Arabidopsis thaliana: one gene and its partners. The protein of the gene in region 4 interacts with the protein of the main gene of each other region in a pairwise test. Each region holds a gene or a part of one and is shown on either strand. Other genes may lie near its edges.

Evidence for each region.
Region 1: the proteins of PUB22 (region 4) and AT4G28650 interact in a two-hybrid assay, tested with the Arabidopsis thaliana proteins (one study listed by BioGRID).
Region 2: the proteins of PUB22 (region 4) and AT1G77580 interact in a two-hybrid assay, tested with the Arabidopsis thaliana proteins (one study listed by BioGRID).
Region 3: the proteins of PUB22 (region 4) and AT1G75370 interact in a two-hybrid assay, tested with the Arabidopsis thaliana proteins (one study listed by BioGRID).

What each region holds. Positions count from the first base shown.
Region 1 is NC_003075.7:14,143,424-14,149,357, forward strand, and holds AT4G28650 (Leucine-rich repeat transmembrane protein kinase family protein), read right to left. Parts: upstream 4,115-5,934; 5' UTR 3,854-4,114; coding exon 1,228-3,853; intron 1,148-1,227; coding exon 732-1,147; 3' UTR 535-731; downstream 1-534. Other genes in the region: IAA11 (indole-3-acetic acid inducible 11), read left to right, coding at 1-72, 164-225, 321-505. UniProt on the Arabidopsis thaliana protein: Involved in the regulation of procambium maintenance and polarity during vascular-tissue development. Involved in the pollen tube perception of the female signal. Phosphorylates MDSI1.
Region 2 is NC_003070.9:29,143,482-29,149,186, forward strand, and holds AT1G77580 (filament-like protein (DUF869)), read right to left. Parts: upstream 4,166-5,705; 5' UTR 3,884-4,165; exon of another isoform or gene 3,357-3,883; 5' UTR 3,313-3,356; coding exon 3,223-3,312; exon of another isoform or gene 3,132-3,222; coding exon 2,936-3,131; intron 2,857-2,935; coding exon 1,181-2,856; coding exon of another isoform or gene 1,151-1,180; exon of another isoform or gene 1,088-1,150; coding exon 710-1,087; 3' UTR 546-709; downstream 1-545. Other genes in the region: AT1G77570 (Winged helix-turn-helix transcription repressor DNA-binding protein), read left to right, coding at 1-312; LACS9 (long chain acyl-CoA synthetase 9), read right to left, coding at 5,020-5,184, 5,259-5,465, 5,554-5,688.
Region 3 is NC_003070.9:28,275,894-28,281,670, forward strand, and holds AT1G75370 (Sec14p-like phosphatidylinositol transfer family protein), read right to left. Parts: upstream 3,906-5,777; coding exon 3,872-3,905; intron 3,699-3,871; coding exon 3,386-3,698; intron 3,301-3,385; coding exon 3,201-3,300; intron 3,116-3,200; coding exon 2,849-3,115; intron 2,755-2,848; coding exon 2,677-2,754; intron 2,581-2,676; coding exon 2,479-2,580; intron 2,379-2,478; coding exon 2,329-2,378; intron 2,209-2,328; coding exon 2,109-2,208; intron 2,019-2,108; coding exon 1,926-2,018; intron 1,843-1,925; coding exon 1,729-1,842; intron 1,653-1,728; coding exon 1,538-1,652; intron 1,450-1,537; coding exon 1,076-1,449; intron 968-1,075; coding exon 890-967; intron 820-889; coding exon 776-819; coding exon of another isoform or gene 764-775; exon of another isoform or gene 692-763; coding exon 547-691; downstream 1-546. Other genes in the region: AT1G75360 (uncharacterized protein), read left to right, coding at 1-63.
Region 4 is NC_003074.8:19,440,113-19,444,421, forward strand, and holds PUB22 (plant U-box 22), read right to left. Parts: upstream 2,316-4,309; 5' UTR 2,139-2,315; coding exon 831-2,138; 3' UTR 505-830; downstream 1-504. UniProt on the Arabidopsis thaliana protein: E3 ubiquitin-protein ligase that negatively regulates water stress response. May control in coordination with PUB23 a drought signaling pathway by ubiquitinating cytosolic RPN12a.

The DNA of each region.
Region 1 (5,934 bases), on a different chromosome or scaffold from region 4:
GTCTTCCGGATTAGTACTAACGTATGAAGACAAGGAAGGAGATTGGATGCTTGTTGGCGATGTTCCGTGGGGGTATGCATACATATGTTCTTATGCTTTTGATGCTTTGTCCCGTGTAAGCGTCAAATTCTGAAGTTTGAACCTGAGTTTTACTTGTGTCTAGGATGTTTATTGGTTCAGTGAGAAGGCTCCGGATAATGAAAACATCGGAGGCTACTGGTAAAGGTACATTTACTGATTCGATCAAATCCTGATATCTGTATTAAAATCATTGTTTTGTCGTTGTGACCGTGTTTGTGTGATCCTTGTTTACAGCTCAGATGATATTATGAAGCAAATAATAATCTACGAAGAACCCTTTATGTTTGAAGCAGTAATAAGACAGATCACAGATCAAAGAGAAGACAAAAACATTGTAAGAAGCTTCTTCTTCTTCTCTCCCCTTTACAGTTTCTTTTTTGGCTCTGCCATTTTTCTTTTAGTTAGTTATATGTTCTCTTTGTAAATCACACTTTAAAAATCTATAAGAAAACCCTTTCTTGCACAAAAACAAAACGGTTCAGAGCAATGCACAAAGTTAATATGATCATGTAAAACAAAGGAAACTTATTCTACATGGAAAAATTAAATCAAAAGATACATATCTCTCTCTCTTTCTCTCTTTCTTCTACATACAGAACACGAATCGAACGAATCAGTTTATCGGCCTCTTTTGATTCTTAAATCTCATACTAAAGAAGGCCATTTACAGGTGAAGTACTAAAAACCGATGAATGTTTCTCGGCCAAGCTACGACTAGTGTTCTCTTCATTACTATTACTTTTCCTCCTCGGTTTAGCCTCTCCGAGCATCGATATCACATCTCTCATCGAAGGTCTGTCTTTCGGGAGCTTTGTAGTGCAGAGAAGAGCAATCTGTAGAACTAAAAGCATCTCTTCTTGCACATATCTGCAGTTTCCTACGTTAGGATCTAATGCTTCTTCTAGTGATATGTTGTCTCTTATCTTCCTTCTCACCCACTCCACAATGTCTACTGATTCTCCAAACTCCGGTTCCAATGGTCTTCTTCCGGTTAACAGCTCCAATAGTACGACGCCGTAGCTGTATATGTCTATCTTCTCATCCACCTTCAAAGTGTATCCATACTCTGCAAATGATCAACCATATGTTGTTAGACTAAACCGGATTGTAATCAATTTAGTAATCGGTATGGTATTTAAACCTTACCGGGAGCAATGTAACCGTAAGAACCGGCGACCATTGAAACGGTTTCTTTCTTCCTCGCCATCATCCTGGCGAGGCCAAAATCGGCGATTCTGGCGTCGAGATTCGCGTCGAGCAAGATATTGTTGGATTTGATGTCTCTGTGAATCACCGGAGGATGACAATCATGGTGGAGGTAAGCGAGGCCGTGAGCTACACCTAACGCGATGTTGTAACGCGAAACCCAATCAACGAGAAGTCTCCCGGCGGCGTTTTTGCCGTGAATCGCATCACCAAGGTTTCCGTTGAGCATGAATTCATATACGATCATCATGTTTTTGTCGTTGTATAAGAACCCTAGGAGCCTCACTATGTTTCTGTGTCTCAATTTCCCGAGGAGGTTAACTTCGCCTACGAAATCTCCGGTGGTTCCATCTTCAATATCCGCGGCAGATCTCCAGAGCTTCTTCACGGCGAGAACTGTGCTTGATCGTGACATTTCTGCTTTGTACACGATTCCGGTTGCTCCCATTCCGATCATGTTTGATTCTTTGATACATGCCAAGATATCGGAAGCTGTAAACCCTAATCTATGAAACGCCATTAATCTCCAAGGCCATTCACCTTTGCTCGCCGTCTCGTCGCCGCAGAATCCGTTAGAATACCATTTCTTGTACAGAGTTCTCGTAACAATGGTGAGAATCCCTAGAGCTAGAACCGATGCTATCCCAATCAACCATCCGGCGACAATTCGTTTCCCGTGGAGGCTACTGTGACTCGATGTTGCTCTTTGGAATTTACTACACGGTGGTAGAACGCCGCCGCAGAGACCGGAGTTTCCTCTTAGATCATCTGGATTTATGGTTTTGAGAAAGCCGTTGATAGGGACTGGACCTGTGAGCTTGTTGTATGAGACGTTTAGGAGTTCCAGAGCTGGAGATGTTCCGATGCTCTCTGGTAGTACTCCGGTTAAGGAATTGTTGGAGAGATCTAGCACTGCTAATGCAGACATTGTCGTGATCTGTCTAGGGATTTCGCCGGTGAGGTTATTATTTCTTAGGTTGAGGCTTACGAGCTTCTCGCATGAAGCAATGCTTGAAGGGATAGTGCCAGTGAGAGTGTTTGATGAGAGATCGAGATTAGAGAGTGAAGGACAATCCTGGAATTGGTCTGGAACTTCGCCGGAGATAAAGTTATCGGCGACTAAAAACGCCTGTAGGTTGTGAATTGAGAGGATTGTGGAAGGGAGAGATGATCGGATCTGGTTTCTTGAGAAATCAATGAAAGAAAGTGAAACTGAATCGGAGATGTCTCCAGGGATCCCTCCGCTGAGACGATTTCCGGCTAGTTCGAGTCTCTGTAGCTTCTCAAGCTTGCCAAAGCCGATAGGAATTGATCCGTTTAGTAGATTGTTCTGCATTCTAACACGAACTAGTGATTGGCAAGTGGAAAGAGTCGCTGGAATCTGACCGGTGAAGGTGTTGTTGAAGAGAATGAGCTTGGTTAGATTTCCCTTGTTGCATAGAGTTGAAGGAATCTCGCCTGAGAAGGAGTTTGAAGAAACGTCAAGCCATTGTAATGGAGAATTCTTCCCGAGATCGCTTGGTAACTCGCCGGAGAGCGTGTTGTTCCAGAGCTCGAGGACTTGTAACTGTGCTAGACTGCTGATGGCGGGAGGAATGGAGCCTGAGAGTTTGTTGCGCATCAGGTTCAGTAGCTGGAGGTTCTTGAGCTTTGTTATCTCCATTGGAATCTCGCCGGTTAACGCATTATCGGAGAAATCAAGAACCTTTAGCGTGGTAATGCTTCCTATCTCTCTTGGAATTGTTCCGGTGAAGTTATTCTCGTACAGGAGAAGCGTCTCGAGTGACTTGAGCTTCCCAAGCTCTGACGGAATCTCACCACTGAGCTTTCCGATGGCCAAATCAAGGTACTTGAGGCTGTTTATGTTTCCAAATTCCGGTGGAATCGGACCTTTGAATTCGTTGTAACCAAGAATGGCGGTTTCAAGTGAAGGGAGCTGGCCGAGAACGCTTGGTAACTCGCCGGTGAGATTGTTTCCGGATAATCCGAGAAATCTCAGCTTCTGTAGATTCTTGAATGAACTTGGAAGTGACCCTTGAAAGAAATTCCCTCGGAGATCAAGAACTTCTAAAGAGACTAAGTTCCCGAGATCCTCCGTGAGATTTCCGGAGAGATTGTTCCCTGAAGCATTGAGGTGAACAAGCCCAAGTGATTCATTGCTAAATAGAAAAAGACTCCCTGAGAATGAATTCTGGCTGATGTCAATAGATTTCAACGGAGGGATTGATTTCGGGAGCAGCGACTCGAATCCGTTGCATGATATGTTAAACGAGACAAGGCTACTCAGCTGGCTGATCGAATCTGAGATTTTGCCTGTGAGATTCATCCCCGCCAGGTCGAGCTTCTCAACATTGCCATTTGAGTTGCACCGAACACCGGTCCAATTACAGTGATCGCTGGTGTCTGAAAGCTTCCAGTCTTTGAGAAAGTTGAGAGGATCCACAAGAGTTGATTTCACCGACAGCAAAACAGAGAGCTCGTTGACATTGTCGATGGAAGCTAAAACAGAGGAAGTAGAACCAATGTAACAGTAGTAAAGGAAGAGAACTATTATCTTCATCTTCATCTTCAACTTCTTCCTCTGTCTCAACAGCTTCAACTGAAACTTGACTCCTTAGTTCATTACCAAGAACGAGACTAGTGAACATGCAAGGAGGTGGTGGAGGAAGAGAGTAGAATAAGAAGAAACTCTGTAAGTATATGCTTGTTCTGTGTTTATTATGTTATATATATGTGACATATAAACACAGAGATATATAAAAATGAATCTTGGTTTTATATGGATGTAGTGATCAAAGAGTATGTAGGGTTACATGTTCTAAGAAAAAAAGAAATAAACAAGATCTTGGAAGTATTTGAGAAATTTCTTAAGACATTGAACATGTGAAGAGAGAATGTGTTTTCTTCACAATTACAACTAATCCAAAAATGTGTTCGGTGTTTTAAAATTAATTAAGTCAACTATTGATTTGCTGTATAGTGATTTGTGAATGTGCCATAGATAGCTTAAGCTTAAACTAATACTAATATAATTACTATTTTTTATACATACACTTGGTGTGTGGCATAGAGGTAGCTTATGCTTAACTTCATTCTAATTCAGCTTTTGTAGAATGTCTTTATCTATTTTCCCACCTTTTTCCTTTTGTGTCTTTTAACGCTTGCCTTCTAAGGAAGAAAAACAAAAAATATACCATTAGCTCTTAGCAATATTCGATTACATTACATATTAATGATGAATCAGTGATTATATTGTAAATCTCGTATTTAGGATATAGCCACCGAGGTGAACGTTCGAAGCATATAAGAATGGGTGACCTGCACATGTGATGAAGAAGAACAGATGATCCTATTACCCTATGCTCTGCAGCATATTTAAATATCAGATAGGTCCAAATAAATTTCATTATTAATTAAAATCAGCAATAATGAAGATATTCCCACGATCGATCTTCACGTTTCTTCTTACCCCTTTTGAATTTCGAAAAGCTTCTTTCTATTTGGTTGGTTAAAAAAAATTAAGATCGAGCCCACTCATGGCCATTATACGTGAAAACATATTTCTTTAGTTCAATCATACTTACCTTGATGCGTAACAAAAGTGTGAATACTATAATGTATGCCACTGCAGAGAGTGCAGGCTTGTTACTGTTCTTTCGTTTGCATGATTGATTAGATAAGAATCTTCCCATGTTACAGATTTATGGCAGTGTAATATAGGTATAGTATAATATTGTTGATAATATAACAAATAAAAATTAAATAAAGTGGTTAATTGTATCACTTCTTGAATGTATCAGCAAATTGTCCCTAATTAAAATGCTACTTTCTTAAACGTTCTTCAGATATAAAATTCTAATTTCGTAAACTTTCTACCTGATGTCTAAAAGACTAAAAGCATGTGTAGACGTATACACCCAAAGTCAGTGCCAATGCCTTTAAGGTAAAGTAAAATGGAGACGGAATAAAAAAAACGTACGTCAAACGAGAGAATATAATTTTTATTTTTTTTTCAGACTGCCCAATTAGCATAGCATAGTAATTTGATATCACTAAAAAGAATCCAAACTTGATAAATAATAACCGTGACAAATTCAACACCAAGATGTTTAAAAACTCAAACAGATATGTATGTATCAAGAACGGGTCGAGGTAAACTAACTGATCAATTTGATAAAGGATAAGATAAGCTAAATGCTAAATGATTTGTGGGAAAATGGCAGAGAAATGCACACGCATAATATTCATCAAAACAATTATTGTAATACTCCAACAATTACCCACTCCTCTTACTGATTTCATGTTTCCATCCTTCTTATTACAGTACTAAACACAAACTGTTGCTTCACATGCACTCATGTGGACCTGTCTTTTATACAATTGTTTTTTCTTTCTTATTATTTGTTGTTTTTAGAAAACATTCCGATCCGTAGTTAAGTTCTTCATTTGCTTAATTATCCTTTCGATCGTTGGATAAAATACCTTAAATTCTACGATTACTCAGTAAGTAATTTTTTTTTATATAATTGATAGAATACACTTTTCAGTTTTGAATCTTTCGACTGATCACTGATATATACAATATCTTAGGAAAATAAATAAATTTGATCTACACCATAAATATTATAATAATCAATTATTACCCAA
Region 2 (5,705 bases), on a different chromosome or scaffold from region 4:
TCGTGGAGCGAAAGCAACAACAGTTTCATTATCTGGAATGTTGGAGAGTTTTACAGAAGGATTCTGCCTAAATATGTAGACTTGGGCACAAACCTCTCACGGTTTTTCTCCAACCTTCGTTCTCATGGGTTCAAAATAGTTAAAGGAAGAACTGGAGTATTGGAATTTGGACATGAAGATTTTATCAGAGATAAACTGGAGCTTATGAAGAAGATGGTTAGCGATAAACGTAAAGCAAGGAAAGCTGCTAAATCCAAAGCAAGGAAAGCTAGAGTTCAAGTCGAGTTTCTCTTCCAACACTTGCAAATTTGATCGTCCATTAAATCAGTCTTCTTTATTATGTATATTCGTCTCCAAGTAGATTCAAGTCTAAGAACTTTTCAATAGTATGTTTCTCTCTTTATAGGAACCCTCTTTATATGCCTAGTCTTTGATTCTTCTCTTATGATGGTGGCTTCTCTTCTTTATTGTCTTATATTATGATTCATAACAACATCACATAGAAACTTCCTAAAACCTCTTAACAGAAAATTGAAAACTTTTGAAACATCTTTTATGGAATATCCATCCACTGCATTACACTAGAGATTAACTTTTAAAACTACTACTATGGATTCAAAATCTGGAAAAGGGAACAAAGTGGTGTTAAAAACGGATCCTTTTTAAACCCTAAGAGATAAGTTTCTCTGCCTACTCTGCCAAAGTTATGTTATATAGCCAGATGGATACCGTCTTTACTTCTTGTGAATACTGTTGCAAATCCATTGCGATTCTTCTCAGAACTCCCTCGGTTTGTTGAAACTGGCATTGAAACAGCAGCAGACGCAGTAGAAGAAGAAGAAGATGGAGATGTTTCTTTGGTTGGTTTGATGGACTCAGGATGATTTCTTGTCATGAAAGTTTCGTTTTTGTGAACCTTCCAACTCTCTGAGTTGCTGCTGCTGCTTACACCATTTGCAGCCATTGGAATTATCGGTGTATCGGTTAAGAAATCTTCAAGTGTTGCAAGGGACTGCAACTGTTTCCCCAATGAAGCTATTGTTTTCTGACAATTCGCAAGTTTCCCTGCAGCTGTTTCTATGTCTTCCTGAATTATAGTAATCAAGTTTTAGTGGACAAAAAAGTGATTGTGATGGAACACAGTCTAAGTTTAACTAACACCTGAACTTTGGAGACAGACCTGTTTGATCTTGGGTTCTTTATTTTCACTCTTGATTGAGTTCTCTTTATGGAGAGAGATCTCTTCTTCAAGAGCCTCACATTTTCTCCTAAGCTCATCAAAAGCAAACCTCTCCTTTCTCATGTCTTCTTCCAAAGATTCAATCTTTGCGGATTTAGTCTTTGCATCTGCTTCCATTGCGATGGTTTGAGACTCTACTTCAGCTTTTAGTTCGTTAACGAGTTTCATCTCCGTTTGTATCTCCCCCAGCTTCGTCTCGATTTCTTGCAGACAAACTTGAGATTCTTCATATTTATCTTTGATTATGTCAAAAGATATTTGCAGCTCAGCTTTCTCAACTTCCAACTTCTCCAACTTATTTTCCAGCTCCATTTTTTCACAAGCAATAGCTTCGAGCTCAAATCTCAATGTGCTCTCCACTTCCCTGTTACATTTAACTTCACTTTTGAGCTCATCTTTCTCTACTTCCAACTTCTCTAACTTCTCCTCAAGTTGCTTGATTCGGCAAGTCAATACTTCTATTTCAGTAGCCAACGAGTTCTCTACTTGAGCAACAGCCTCTTCTCTGTTACATTTTACTTCACTTTCGAGTTCAACTTTCTCCGCTTCTAACTTCTCCAACTGTTCTTCAAGTTCCTTAGTTCGAGAAGTCAGTACTTCTATTTCAGCAGCCAATGAGTTCTCTACGTGAACAACAGCCTTTTCTCTGTTACATTTAACTTCACTTTTGAGCTCCTCTTTCTCTGCTTCTAACTTTTCCAACTTTTCTTCAAGTTCCTTAGTTCGAGAAGTCAGTACTTCTGAGTTCTCTATATGAACAACAGCCTCTTCTCTGTTACATTTAACTTCATTCTCGAGCTCATGTTTCTCGGCTTCTAACTTTTCCAACTTCTCTTCAAGTTCCTTAATGCGAGAAGTCAGTACTTCTATTTCAGAAGCTAACGAGTTCTCTGAGGGAACAACAACCTCTTCTGTAACTGATTCAGGTCCACTCTTACCGTTCCCATCTGGCGTCTCAGGCAATGCTACAAGACGTTCCATCTCAAGAAAATCACCCATGAGATCAAGTTCAATGGAAGAGGAAGTTCCCTGAAGGCTTCTCTTCTCAATCAATGTGGATGATGCCCATGAATCAGAGCAACTCACATCCATTCGTTCCCCTCCATCAGAATGACTATCTGTAGATCGATGATCGTTAAACGAAGCTGATGACTTAGCCAACATCCGAAACTTCCTGCACTCAGCCTCAAGTTTCGCCACTTTCTTTATGCTATCTAACTGCTGCTTGCTGGCGGTTTCAGCTGCTTGGGTACTCAAATCCCTCTCAATAGTTCTGATCTCTAGCTCTTCGCATCGCGCAAGAAGCTCGTGTCTAAGCATCACGTTTTCTTTCGCCACAGATTCCGCCATTTGGCTAAGCTCCTCAGACTTGGTTGCAGTTTCAAAAATCTGGTTCTCAAGGCTGGTTCTAGAAGACTGCAACTCCTGAGTTCTCTCGATCACAGCATCTTGAATTCTCTGTTCTTGTTCATCTCTTGCTTGCCTTAACTGTCTCACACACTCCTTTAAAGCTCCATCAAGATGGCTTACTCTATCTTCCAACACTCTATTCTTATCATCAGCAGCCTCAAGCTTCTCCTTTAACTCAACCACTTCATTTTCAGCTTTCTCCCACCCTTCACAACAAGAGTAGATATATCTTCACTAAAAAGTCGCAGAATCATAAAACAAAAATGTAGAAAAAAAGATTGATACCAGCGACAGCTTCTTCAGCGACTTTGACATGTTGCTTCACTAGATCATCTTTAGCACTCACATTAGCAAGAGCAGCTGAAAGTTTCTCGGCTAAAGTCTTCATGCTATCTTTCAACTCTTCCTTTTCAGTTTCTACTTCCAAAGAAACCGTTGGTGATTGTATCTCGTCATCACGAGACTCCATTGTACTCTCAGGCTTGAGCAAAAATAAAAACAGACATTACAATGATCTTTTAGATGCAAAGGACACAAGACTAAAATAACAAAAACAAAATTCTTGATCTTACTTGAATTTCAGAATCCTTCTCAGATAGTGAAGACACAGACTCTGATTCACCAAAGCTTCTCTCAGATGATTCTCTCTTCCTTTTCTCCATTTATAGTTTCCAAGATCACAATCAGCACATAACAGTCTCAGGATCTGAATGAGAGAGAAAACACACACACACACACACATACATTGGATTCTTTAAAAATGCTGAAACATACATAAACATAGTCAAAGAAGAAACAAACTTTAAGATGAAGTAAACTGAACCAATCAGCAAACATGCAAGATAAGAGAAAATCTTGAATAAACCAATCATTTAACACAAAGTATTAGAAATGATTTAAAGGAACTGAATTTGTCTTTATAGTAACAAATGTGGTTCCAGATGTCCGTTTCATAATCAAAAACCAACGGTTGAGAAAGCTACAAGACAAAGAACAAAAGCTTGAAACTTTAAATTTGAAACTCGTTGAGGCATAAGGGAAAATCTACCAAAACCCCAAATCCAAGAGAAGGAAATAAAAGCTACGAGGGTAATGGAACAGTGATAAGTAAGTCTCAAACTACACTCCAAACATTGGTCTATTTCAGAGAACACTTAAGTAGATAAATTAAAAAAAAACGAACAAAGGAAGAGAATATTGTGAAAGAGACCAAATGTTTGGTGAAGTAAATACCTTTTGGTTGGGGACTGTATGAAGAACTTTGAGATCCCAAAATGCCCCAATGGAAACAAAAAAAAATCAGCGATTAAACAAGCAAAAAGGAAGAAGCTTTCTTCTTCTTCTACTACTGTCTGAAACACTATTACGATTTATTAACAGCGACAAGGCAGAGATATAGCGTGAGAGAGAGAGAGAGAGAGAGAAGAGAGAATTCTCTTTATCTTGTTTTTTGCTATTTTTGAAATATTTCTCTAATTTTTCTTCTTTAATTCAAAAGATAGAAAGAGAGATAGAGCATGTGATCTTCTGTATGTGGAGCTGTGAACTCAAAAAACATTTAAATCTTAACTTTTTCAGCTTTTTTTAAGGAATTATTATTTTTGTGTATATAAATGTAAGGAATTAAAAGTTAAAACGTAATTTCGTACTAATTAATTTGAATTATTGACATTTAAAGTGCTTATAACAATTCCCGCCCGAGAATACATTATTGACAATAATTTAGGATAATTAAATTACGAATTTAGAAAGCAGCTTTTGAATTTAAGGAAGTTGTAACGGTTTTAATAATAATAATGTGATTAAAGAAGAGCTCACGCGTCTCGCTGACTCTGGTCATTGGGTTCACTGACAAAATCAGTGAGATTCACAATTTATCCGACGGTTTAGATTGCTCCCATCTCTCACTCTGCTTTCTACTTTTTTTTTTTTTTTTTTCTGTTAAGTACAATATAATTAATTTATACACTAATCTCCAATTTATCTTTTCTTAATTGTTGGTAGTTGGTAAGATTAACTTTATTTTCACTCCAGATTACAATTGATAGTCTCTTTCCTTTTGTCGTTTATCTCGAGTCCCAAAAACAAATAAACTAAAAACTATATGCATAGGCTTAATGACGTGGTTTGATAAAGGCCCATTAAGTTGTATAGACATGGTCTCAAAGCCTAAAAAGATTGTTGAGAGTAAGAGACCCATTACTCTGTTTTTTCTGTCTCGTCCTAGTTCCCACACAAATTACACGAAAAGACAGAAACATCAATGAGAAAAGAGATAACTATTCTTAGAATTAAGTTTTTGTGCATCTGTTAAGTCTTTCGAATGCATCGAGACGTAAAAAAAAAAAAAGTAAAGGAAGAAGAAAAATTTAGGCATATAACTTGGTGAGATCTTCAGAGAATTCCCTCCTAATTACATCTCTTTTCAGCTTTAGAGCTGCTGTGACTAATCCTGACTCTGGCGTCCATGGAGATGCCAATAATTTGATCTTTGCTGGTATCTCAAACTTCTCCAATCGTGATTGTTTAGCCGCCTGCATAACACAGATGTTATAAGGAAATGACTGGGGGACTCAAATAGCTTGGTAATGAGTAGCAATGAACATACCTTCACAAGGGACGCATACACTTCTTTCACGGCTTGCTCTTTCGTGCACAGTTCTTCGAAGTTGGCAAAGTCTATTCCTTGCTTTGAAGCCCAACCTTCAACTGTATGTTGGGACGCGACCACAAGAGCCACACAGTAACTGTAGAACGAATCAGCATGAACCATTATGTTTTCAACATAGGGACTTATACTTAGAGCAGCTTCAACCTGCGAAAAAAAAGAATGTTTTAAGAAGCTTCTCCGGAGAATTGAGTGATGAAGACAAAAAAGGGTATTCGGATTGAGAAAACTATACTTTGCCCAAGGAGACATATTCTCCATGCTGAAGTTTAACGATATCCTTTTTTCGGTCTATTATCTCGAGGCAGCCATCAGGGTGAAATCGTCCTATGTCTCCTGTGTAGAACCACCTCATTCCCTTTTCATCAACCTTTGAACATTCAAGTG
Region 3 (5,777 bases), on a different chromosome or scaffold from region 4:
ACCGTTCGATGTCATGTACTTGGATCTAGACCTGGCCTCATTGGTGGCTATGGCTCGTGCTAGTCTTGATAGCTGACTTGGAAGTAGAGAAGAGGTAACAAAAAAAGTAAAAACTCACAAATGACTAAAGTTTGGTAGTATTATTCTACTTTAGGTGATGCTGGTGATTATTTTAAAATTAGCTGGCTTGATTTTCATTTTCGATGGTTTCGATTTTCTTTGGCACCACAATGAAATGAAATACGGAAATAGTAATTTTTATGTGAATTTGGGGAATTTTTTTTATCATTGATATCAAATTTGCTAACTCAGTCAGCCATTATTTTAGTAGTTTCAAAGACATTCAAATTTTGATATCAAAAAGTCGACTAACCGACTACCTATGTTGTTTACCACATCTTTTATGGAGTTAGCCTTGAATCAAGCTTAAATTATAAATAGACACATTTTTCATCATGACTCATTCATATAAGCATAGACCAAACAAATACTGTATGATAACTGCGATAGGAGGCAAAGCAGAGACGGAAGTGGGAGAAAATGGTGTCACTGATATAAATAAAAATGTACTTTGAATATTAACTGAAAAAACATTCTTCTAAAATTTCCCCCAAAAGTATCAAATCTTTGCTTATGAGACCTAATTTTGGATATAAACATTGTTCTCTCTATAGGGTTGGTGTTTACGAACCTACTCATAAAGCAGAGTACAACACCACTTCTTGTAACTCGTATAACTCGAAGCTCTCTCTCTCTTCAGTCTTCACCAGCACACCTTCTTTTTCTGTTTTCCCAACAAAAACCACGTAAGTGTATTCTCTTCATATATCAAAAAAACAATCACAAAATTACGGGTGATTGGGTGGGTGAAAGAAATTAAATGATTTACCTTGTGATACTTCTCGTCTTCTTCACGGTCTATGTAAGCCAAAAGATCATCTTGTCTCATTAAAGCCTCATGTAAAGCCTGAATCATTGGAGAGTGTTGGCGTTAATATACACACACAAAGACAGTTGCTTTTCATATTAATTAATAAAAGTCATTTAACATGGAATTGAGAGGTTTCCTTTAGACCTTTTTTGTAGCGATGAGCTCTGCTTCAAGTGCATCCACGCGATAAACAGCTGTATTAAGCAACTCCTCTTTCTCACGCGGCATCTCATGACGCTTCGAGTGCAGTGTTTCTACCTGTTTCTCAAGATCTCCTAGTCTGTTTACAACAGAAGAAAACACATTTCTCTCTGCGATAGTTGCAAAAGCCGGTGAAGGAGGACGAGACTCTCTAGCGTTTGGTCCATCAACTGAAGATTCAGACTGGGAGTGTCCTTCTCTCTGTGGCAGAGCCAAAGATATGAGAAGCGTAAACAAGTTTACAAAGAACATCATTAGCCACCTCCAGATATAAGTAACCGTTCTTATTTTGCCCGAATCGGGTGTATCCTCTGAACCTGCACAAACATATTCCATTACAGTTAAACTTTGCGTTGATCTGATTTCTGATTTACATATCATAATATTTAGATTCCTCTCTTTTACCTTTTGAAGCCTTTGGCTTTTCATGGGCCATCCAAGCAACATCCACGACTTTGTCCACCATTGGTGAATCATACTCTGATGAGTCAGTAGGATATGATATAGCAGTGCCCCTAATCTGAAAGTAACATCAGGTAGTAAGTAGTCTGAAATGCATACTGTGATTTTCACTTCCGTACAAAAAAAATTCTTACATCTTCACAAACAGGAGTCAGCTTGGGAACACGAAGCTCTCTATTTACTTTTGGAGAAGCCATCTCTTCCACTTCAGACCCTGATTCTGCTGTCGAGGTGTCACTAGCTTTTATCTGAGCCAATGAGGACATTGTTGTTACGGTAAGACACAAATTTTGAAAACAAGTTTCGTATCTTAAGTATAGAAGACCTTTACCCCAGAAAAAGATGGCTTATCGCATGAAGACACACGGGAAAAACTGTTTAGAGCCGAATTATGCCTGCAGAGCGGTCCACCACTTTGAAGCATCTACAAGGTGGGGAAGATCAGTTAAGTAACACTATTCTGTCTGGTGTTAATCTTTTTAACCAAAATAGGCTGCGGAAGATCGATTTTTACCTTTAATATCTCAGGGTCATTCCAGGGGCCTTTATCAGATCTCATACAACCACCTCGATCTGCACAGGTGCAAGTGCCACCAAGAAAATCTGGCAGCTGGCTGAAAAAGTTCCAAAAATGGTTAGGAAGCTATATCATATTTTGGACTCATGTGAACCAAACAAGCTATATCATATTTTGGACTCATGTGAACCAAACAAGAGGATTGAGATGTCTCAACCTTGCATCAATGATCTCAAGTAGTTTGTTTTGGTACTTGTTACCAATGACCTATAACAACAACACATCGACAATAGTTAATACGATTAAAGATAATCTTTAGGATAACTTGAGGAAATGTGGATGGATATGCATAAAAGGGTAAATTTACATGAATCTTCGTGACTGTTTTTGGATCAAGAAACTGTTTCACTGTGGCCCAGACTAGCTTAAAACCAGAACCACCATTGATGATGAACATACGATGAAGTGTCTGCATATAGGTGAAATATTACCTCACATTATCTTTTATCAAACTTATTTAATTAACACACAATTTGTAACAAAATCAATAGCAACCAGCTCATACCTCAGGGTAGTTATCGTTATCAATCTTTTGCAGCTGGATTATGAGATCCCTCGCAGGCTTAGAGAAATTCTTGAACCCCTGCAAAACATAAGTTAAGCAATTATAAGTAATAAGATGCAGGACAATAAACACTACACTAGGAAAAACTAACAGAATCTGGTTTTATAAGTACCACGCCTTGGACATCTAGAATTGTTGTGCTAGAGTCAATATGTCTCTTAGCAGCAATGCAGCAAGCTGGAAGCTTTATGTTGACAGTTTTCTCAAACTCTCGAACATGATACCTTATGAATCTTTCCACTGTAGTGACTTGCATGAGCTTGGCCGGATCAACTAGTCCTAATCTTTCAATGTAAACAGGCCTTCCTTCTTTATCAACACCATGATAACCATGAGGGTAGTATTTCAGAACTTCATCAAACTCTTCAAATTCAAAATCCTATTAACACACATATTGAGATTAAAACCATCACATGAGATTAAAAGTAACATATTAAGATTTTTTTTAAAAACATGTAATTCACCTCGAAAATGGTGTCAGTACCAAAATCTTTTCTCCATTTGATCATATTACTCCACATTAACTTGGTTTTCCCAATATCAAATTTCCTAGCTTTCAAGAATCTAACAGAGAACATAGAACATCAAAATCATCATCATCACCATCATCATCATCATGAAAAATGAATCGACAGAAATAAAGTCTCACCTCAGCATGATGTGATAATCATCAAGTGTAGGAGGAAGCAAATTCTCAGAGACGAGTAAATTACGGAATTCATCAACAGCTCGCAATTCCTCAACATCATGAATATCTTCAATGGTAAGAGAGAAAGTACGATCACTGCTTCTTCTCCTACTGCTACCTTTCTTCTTCAACGAATGTCTGAGTTTGCTCGAAGCTTTCGCAGCTTTCTTCTTGAAATTGAAATTCCCGATTCTTGTCTTCTTCTCATCCTCTGAAACTTCGAAATCTGATCTCCTTTCTCTTCTCTCATCATTGCTTGAAACTCCTTCAAAACCTTAAACCAAACAAAATCTCAATCAACATCAACAACAACAACAACAAATCCCTAAAATCTAAAACTCAGAGCATCGTCTACGTCTAGTTCTCAAACTCAATCTAACAAACCAGAATTGCGTGATTTCGAAATAGCGAGAATCGAGAGAAAGGGGATGATTAAAATTTACTCACAAGGTCTCGCAAATCGATCAAGAGAGCCTGACATGAGAAATCTTCAGAAGAATCCGAGAATCGGGGAACTCGGAATCGGCGGAGCCGAGAGAGAGAGAGAAGCGATTCTGCAGAGAGGAAATTGAAAGAGACGTAAGAGGGAGAAGTAAAGTGATGATGGGGTTTTATAATAATTATTAGTCTTCTTTAATTAATAAGTTTCAAAACTTGCGTTACAACAAAAGTTAGACTAGAAATGGTTTTCATTAATTGTGACCGGAAACACAAAGACTCGTCGGTGATTTTTTTCCTTCTTTTCTTCTTAGAAACTTTAAAATCAGTCATACTCTGTTTTCTTTTTTTTGAATGTTTGCTGGTAAGTGGTAACTACTATTTTTTGAGGTTTTTTCAATTTAGTTTTTTAATTAGATGAGTCCCCGCGCACGGTAAATACCGTTACTAAATACCGTTATAATTAGTTAATAATTATATATCGACTAATGTATTTTCAAATTTAGTGAGACGGATACTTACTATATGAGATAAATTTGTTAAGAATCAAATATCAATATTCAAATGGCTACTTTCGATCTTTCTTTATTTCTTTTCTTTCTTTTAATATATTTTTTTATTCGTTATAACAATATTCGGATTGATTGTTTAATCAAGAAGGCGCGTATCTGTATTACTTTCTTTTTTCATGTAAACTTATCGGTTTTTGAATAATTCTTGATAAAAGAAAAATGTTTTTCTGATAACTTAGTAAAATTGATGTTTGGTAAAAAAGAAACGACGAGATGATGGTTGTTTACCTAAACATGTTCAAAATCTGAGATTTTTTAGTTTAATGAGATGTTTTTCTGTTGATTCAAAAAGGATAGTGGGATATTTGAATTAAAAAAATGTTAGATTTGTAATATAAAACAAAAAAATGTTATAAAATTAGGCTTATTTGTCTATACATATTTGAATTGCTTATGTACCATTTAAAATCACTATTCATCTACCAAACTTAGGCTTTTGTCGATATATGACTTGTTTATGTGCCAAATACATGATTTATTTCTATTTTTTAATCTCTTATTGATTTTAGATATATTTTCCTTTATTTATTTATTTTTGTCTTTTTAATAACATTGACTATTTTTTCCCCATATTGAGAGCCCAATTCTGACAAGTGGTTGTCAGTTTGTCACACTATTTGTCGTATGAAACGTATGTTGCGAGATATTTTATTTGAATGGATATGGATTTTTTTTCATTTTAATTTTTTCTTTCCATTTATTATCAATTGACAATTTTTATTTATAAATTAAATATAATACAAACCAGTTGAATATAATCTTAATGGTACTGTGAAAACCATGTCTGCGTAAGATCTCTTGAATAATAAAATTTACATGAATATATATATTTGTAAATTAGTAAGAATATTTATAGACATATTTACCAAAGAACATCATAATGAAAAATAATTATCCTGTTTTATTGTCACGATTTAGATTTAGACAATGCAGTACTAACAAACAAAACAAAGACACTGCAGATATGTCGGCAAAGCCAGTGATTTTGTCTTTTCTTCAAATTTCATGTTAACCATATGCCACATTGCTTCTATGATAAACAACAAACAGCTGCAAGTAATAACAAAAATATATAATTAAATTATTATAAAAAGAAAGAAGCACGAAAACAAATACGACGAACATAAGACTTAAAAGGAAACTTAAAAGTAATTAGAGTGAGCTTAATTTGCATAGATTAATAAGTAATATGTACACATCACGCTACATACATACATTATACATTTTTTTTTGTTTATTTTTTAGGGAAATGGGTAAAGTGCAGAAGCATTCTTCGATCTCCATCATACAGAGACGACACTTCAGGCTTCTTCCTCCACTTTGATTCCGACCAATGACTTTCT
Region 4 (4,309 bases):
TCTACCGATAATGAAATGTCTATTGATCGTTAAAACGCATGCAAAGAGTTTTCGTAAACAGTTTTTACCACGTTTAGTCTAAATCATTTTAAACTGAGTGATCTAAAAAATCACAATAAGTGAATACAAAATCACATATATATGAAGGACTTTTGGTATGTTTACATAATAATTAAGAAAACAAATCTTAATTAAGAATTTCTTAAAACAGAAACTCATCCTCGAATGAAAGAATGCCCGTCGTGGATATCGTCGATGTATACTGGAATATATAAATCAATAGTGGGATTAGAGTTGTAGAACGTACCGACATAATATATATATATATACATAATTACATTCGCAATGTTACAATTCTGGCATCAATTAAATGGTCAGAAACGTTACACATGACGCATACAAATCTCTAAAAGTATTTGTAAAAAGTAATGGTTTTAGCAGAACTATGATGTAACCTTTAGGTTATCCACTCAATAAAAACGAGAAGTTGAAAGAGATGTTCTCCATTATTATTGTGAGTAATGGACAAAAAGAATATAAATAAGGAGCCTCTAACAATTACGAACAAAGCAAGTGGGATAAAATAGCCATGTAACCTGTGAATCCATTTATTTCTTTGCAGTTTTTTCATAATTTCATGAAAATATGTCCACTATTATCTACACATAATGATAAACATTGAAAGATAATAAAACAAAAACAAATGAAAGAAAATCAGAGTTTGAGCAAAATTTAAACCACTCTTTTTTGTTTTAAAATGAACTTATACGAAGAATAATTCTCAAAGAATTGTTTGTATCTGATGAGAATTATTCAAACATGTACGTTGTTCAAGCAGGATACGAATCATACAAATTTCTTGGGACACAAGGTGATTCCCTCCAAACCCTAGCGTGAAGCTTAAGCAATTCTTTAGCCTTTTCTTTAGTCTTGTTACCACAGCTAACTTGAAGTACCAGACACAGCTTTGCTACAACTCCCAATTGCAACATCTCCTGCAACAAAGAGGGTGTCGCGCAGAACCTCCCAACCGAAAGCAAAACCCTAACTGCCCTTTCACTAGTTATTTGTGAGACCCTCAATATCTTCTTAGACACAACCGCAATAGCGGCACCGTGATTCAAGAACTCAGCTCTTCCTTCTGCGCACTGACATAACATATCAAGAACCACCATCGCCATCTCTGAATTCCTTCTCTCTGATGAGAAAGTATCGTCCATTAAAAGCTCGATTATCATCGAGATTGTTCCACCTTCCACTGCCTTGTGTCTATTCCTTCCCCATGGACATGTGATCACCAAGATTTGCATTGCTGATCTTGTCGCCTTGTGAGAGATCTGGTCGTGCAAGATTTGAATCACCTCACCGAAAAGTTCTCGTTCCAACAATATGATCTGCATTGGATCCGCAACTTCCAGGAGCTTCTTGAGAAGCAAAGCCGCATAGGCTCTTGACTCGTAGATCCCACGTTGCATAATCTTCGTCAACGTTTTCACAAGATTTGTTCCTTTCTTGTTGTTTAAAAGACTCTTGAGGGCTGTCTCCGATGTGTCAAGATGGTAGAGTACGCTTAGGGCTTCGTCCATCAAGCTTCTTGAAGAATCAAATCGATTCTCCAACATGTTTGACTGACACATGTCGTTGAGATTCGAAGAAGAAAGTGAAGAAGAAGGAGAGTTATACGTATCTACAGAGTTGCTTACGATATTTGCCAAAAACTCCGGAACTTCTGCGGCTTCTAAGCACCGTTTGTTGGTTGTATTCTCAGATACTATTTGACGAAGTCGTTTGAGGCATTTGACTTGGTTTAGATGCGAAGATGACGACTCTTTGATAAGCTTTTCGATCTCCGATTTACAGATCGGAGGTTTTGGAGTTGGGATCCTCTCTATACCATATGATGCGTTGAGGGTACACCAAGATTGAATCAAACGGCGAAGAGTGTGGTTTGGGGTAAGATCAGTTTCGGTTATGACTTGTTTGGTGACTGGACATGAGTTTTTCTTACCGGAAAAGAGCCACTTCTCGATGCTTTCTCGGTCGTAGGTTATTCCGGTGGAAACTATCACCGGATCTTTCATGATATCTAGAGAGATTGGACAAAGGAAGAAGGAAGGAATCTCTATCTCTTGATCCATTTGACCCGCTCGAAAATATGAAAAAAAAGAAGTAGACTTAATCAATGGAAACGACGAACGAATCTAAACAAAAAGCTTCAAAGTGCAGTCGTTGAGATTTAGGAGATATGTGAATTGGTTTGAATAAGTTAGCAAGAAGATAGATGAAGAGTTTGGGTCTTTAAATATAAAGGGATAGTGGAAATATTCAGAATAATTACAAAAGTCAAAACACGGAAAATACAAGTATTGTTAAAACTCTTTTTGGATAGCTGTCGCTATTTATTTATTATTGTATAGTTTTTTATTAGAACGAACGAGGAACGTTATATATAGATTTGACTTTTTTTTTGGGTGGTGTAACAAAAGAAACTAAACTATAAATGCGTTTCTCATATTAAAAAAAAAAGTGAGACGTATGAAGAGTGTTGACTTGTCAAAAGAGATGCGATAACGGCGAAGAAAGTGTAAAAAGTAACCAAGTCATTGGGGATTGGTTGTGGCGGTGTTGAAGACAAATAGATTGTCTGTTTTGTGTCTCTTTTTCGTTTTACTCACATGCCATAATTGCTTATTCCTCCTCTTTTTTTGCCATCCCCCATTGACTTTTTATTTCATTTTACAAAAAATTGTAACCTAAATTGGCTGGCTTGTTTCAATTTTCAAAACTATGGTTAATATAACTGTTAATCAACCGAAAGGTAGATGAAGATTTTTAGGTTTTTAATTTTGTCAACAAAAAGAAGATTACTGTTTTTGGTACCGACAAAACCTAAAGTGCCATTAACGGTCCGTTGTTGGATTTTGTACATTGTTTTAGGATGCAATCTTTTGTGATACTTTTGGACCCATACTCCCTTGTTATGCTCTACTTTTGTCTAGGCGCTTCCACAATATTTTGGATATTCATATTTTCAGTTATTTTTCCTCTCTTTTTTCCTTTTATCTTTATATATATGTTGGCTTTGATCTTAGTGCCAATGGATATGCCTCTCATCTATTGGCAAATGCATAAACTATATACGTTTTTTATCTGCTTTTGGTTATCACTGAAGTTTTGGTATTCTTTTGAGTCTGATATCTATTTTGGTCAATTACATTCGATTAATTAAATAGTTTTGGTATGCATAAACTATTTTGGTACCACTTGTGGGACATTGATAACTCAGTCTCTTCAAGTTGTTTTATCGTTCTTCCGATTATCAGGGATTCACTTAATGTTTTTATAGAACGTTATATCATTTCATCTTGACAATATATATGAGTTTTTGATCTGTCGATGGACATCTTTACTTCCATTTTTGTTTTTGCCATTAAACAAAATCCATAGGTTCTACAATCCAGTAAACTCTAAACATTGTCATTTTTAAAGAATTACATACATTTTTAACCAAATCTATATCTATATATATATACCACTTTGTGTTTTCCAAAGACATCTTTCGATTTCAAACATTTTAGTTATTAAAAATTGCATATATTACGAAAAAGTCAACATAATATGATTTACAGCTTTATATACCCTATGATTAATGAACTTATGAGTTATGATATTGGTTATTTACTAACGTTTAAGTAACGGAATGAAAAGTGTATATATGATAAAGATTTTCTGCTGTTTTTTTAAAAAAAATATACGAAGAGGATATCATCGATAGTCCGTTATCCTTAATCAACACTTCTATACCTTTTAAGATTTCAAATGAACTGATATTTCTCTTGTCATAGTTTGGCTTTGGTGGTTCTTCATGAGTCTTTAATTGTTGGTTTAAGACTTTAAGCCATTTGCTGTTTACATTGTAACTATTTCAACCTATGTTATTATTTGTTTCAAGCTTATTTGACCTGATTATAGAAACTCGATAGTATTCTTATGATTTGGAAATTTGGAAAATATATGAAAGTATAACAGAATCACAGAACTGAAGTGAAATATTTCCATCTTTTTGTTAAATTAAGATATTATTGAAAAATAGAAATAAGTTAGGCAACTCTTGAGCACGACCAGAATCATGACCAAGTTGCAACTATATATGCTACTAATCAGCAATTCATTCAACCACAAAATAATAATTTATCCAAATAGATAGATAATTGACTTCAATCTTGAGGATATATATTTATTTGGGTTTATGTACAAATAGCTCTTTCCCATTCTTTGAGCAGCGGTCATATATTACAGCCAATTAATA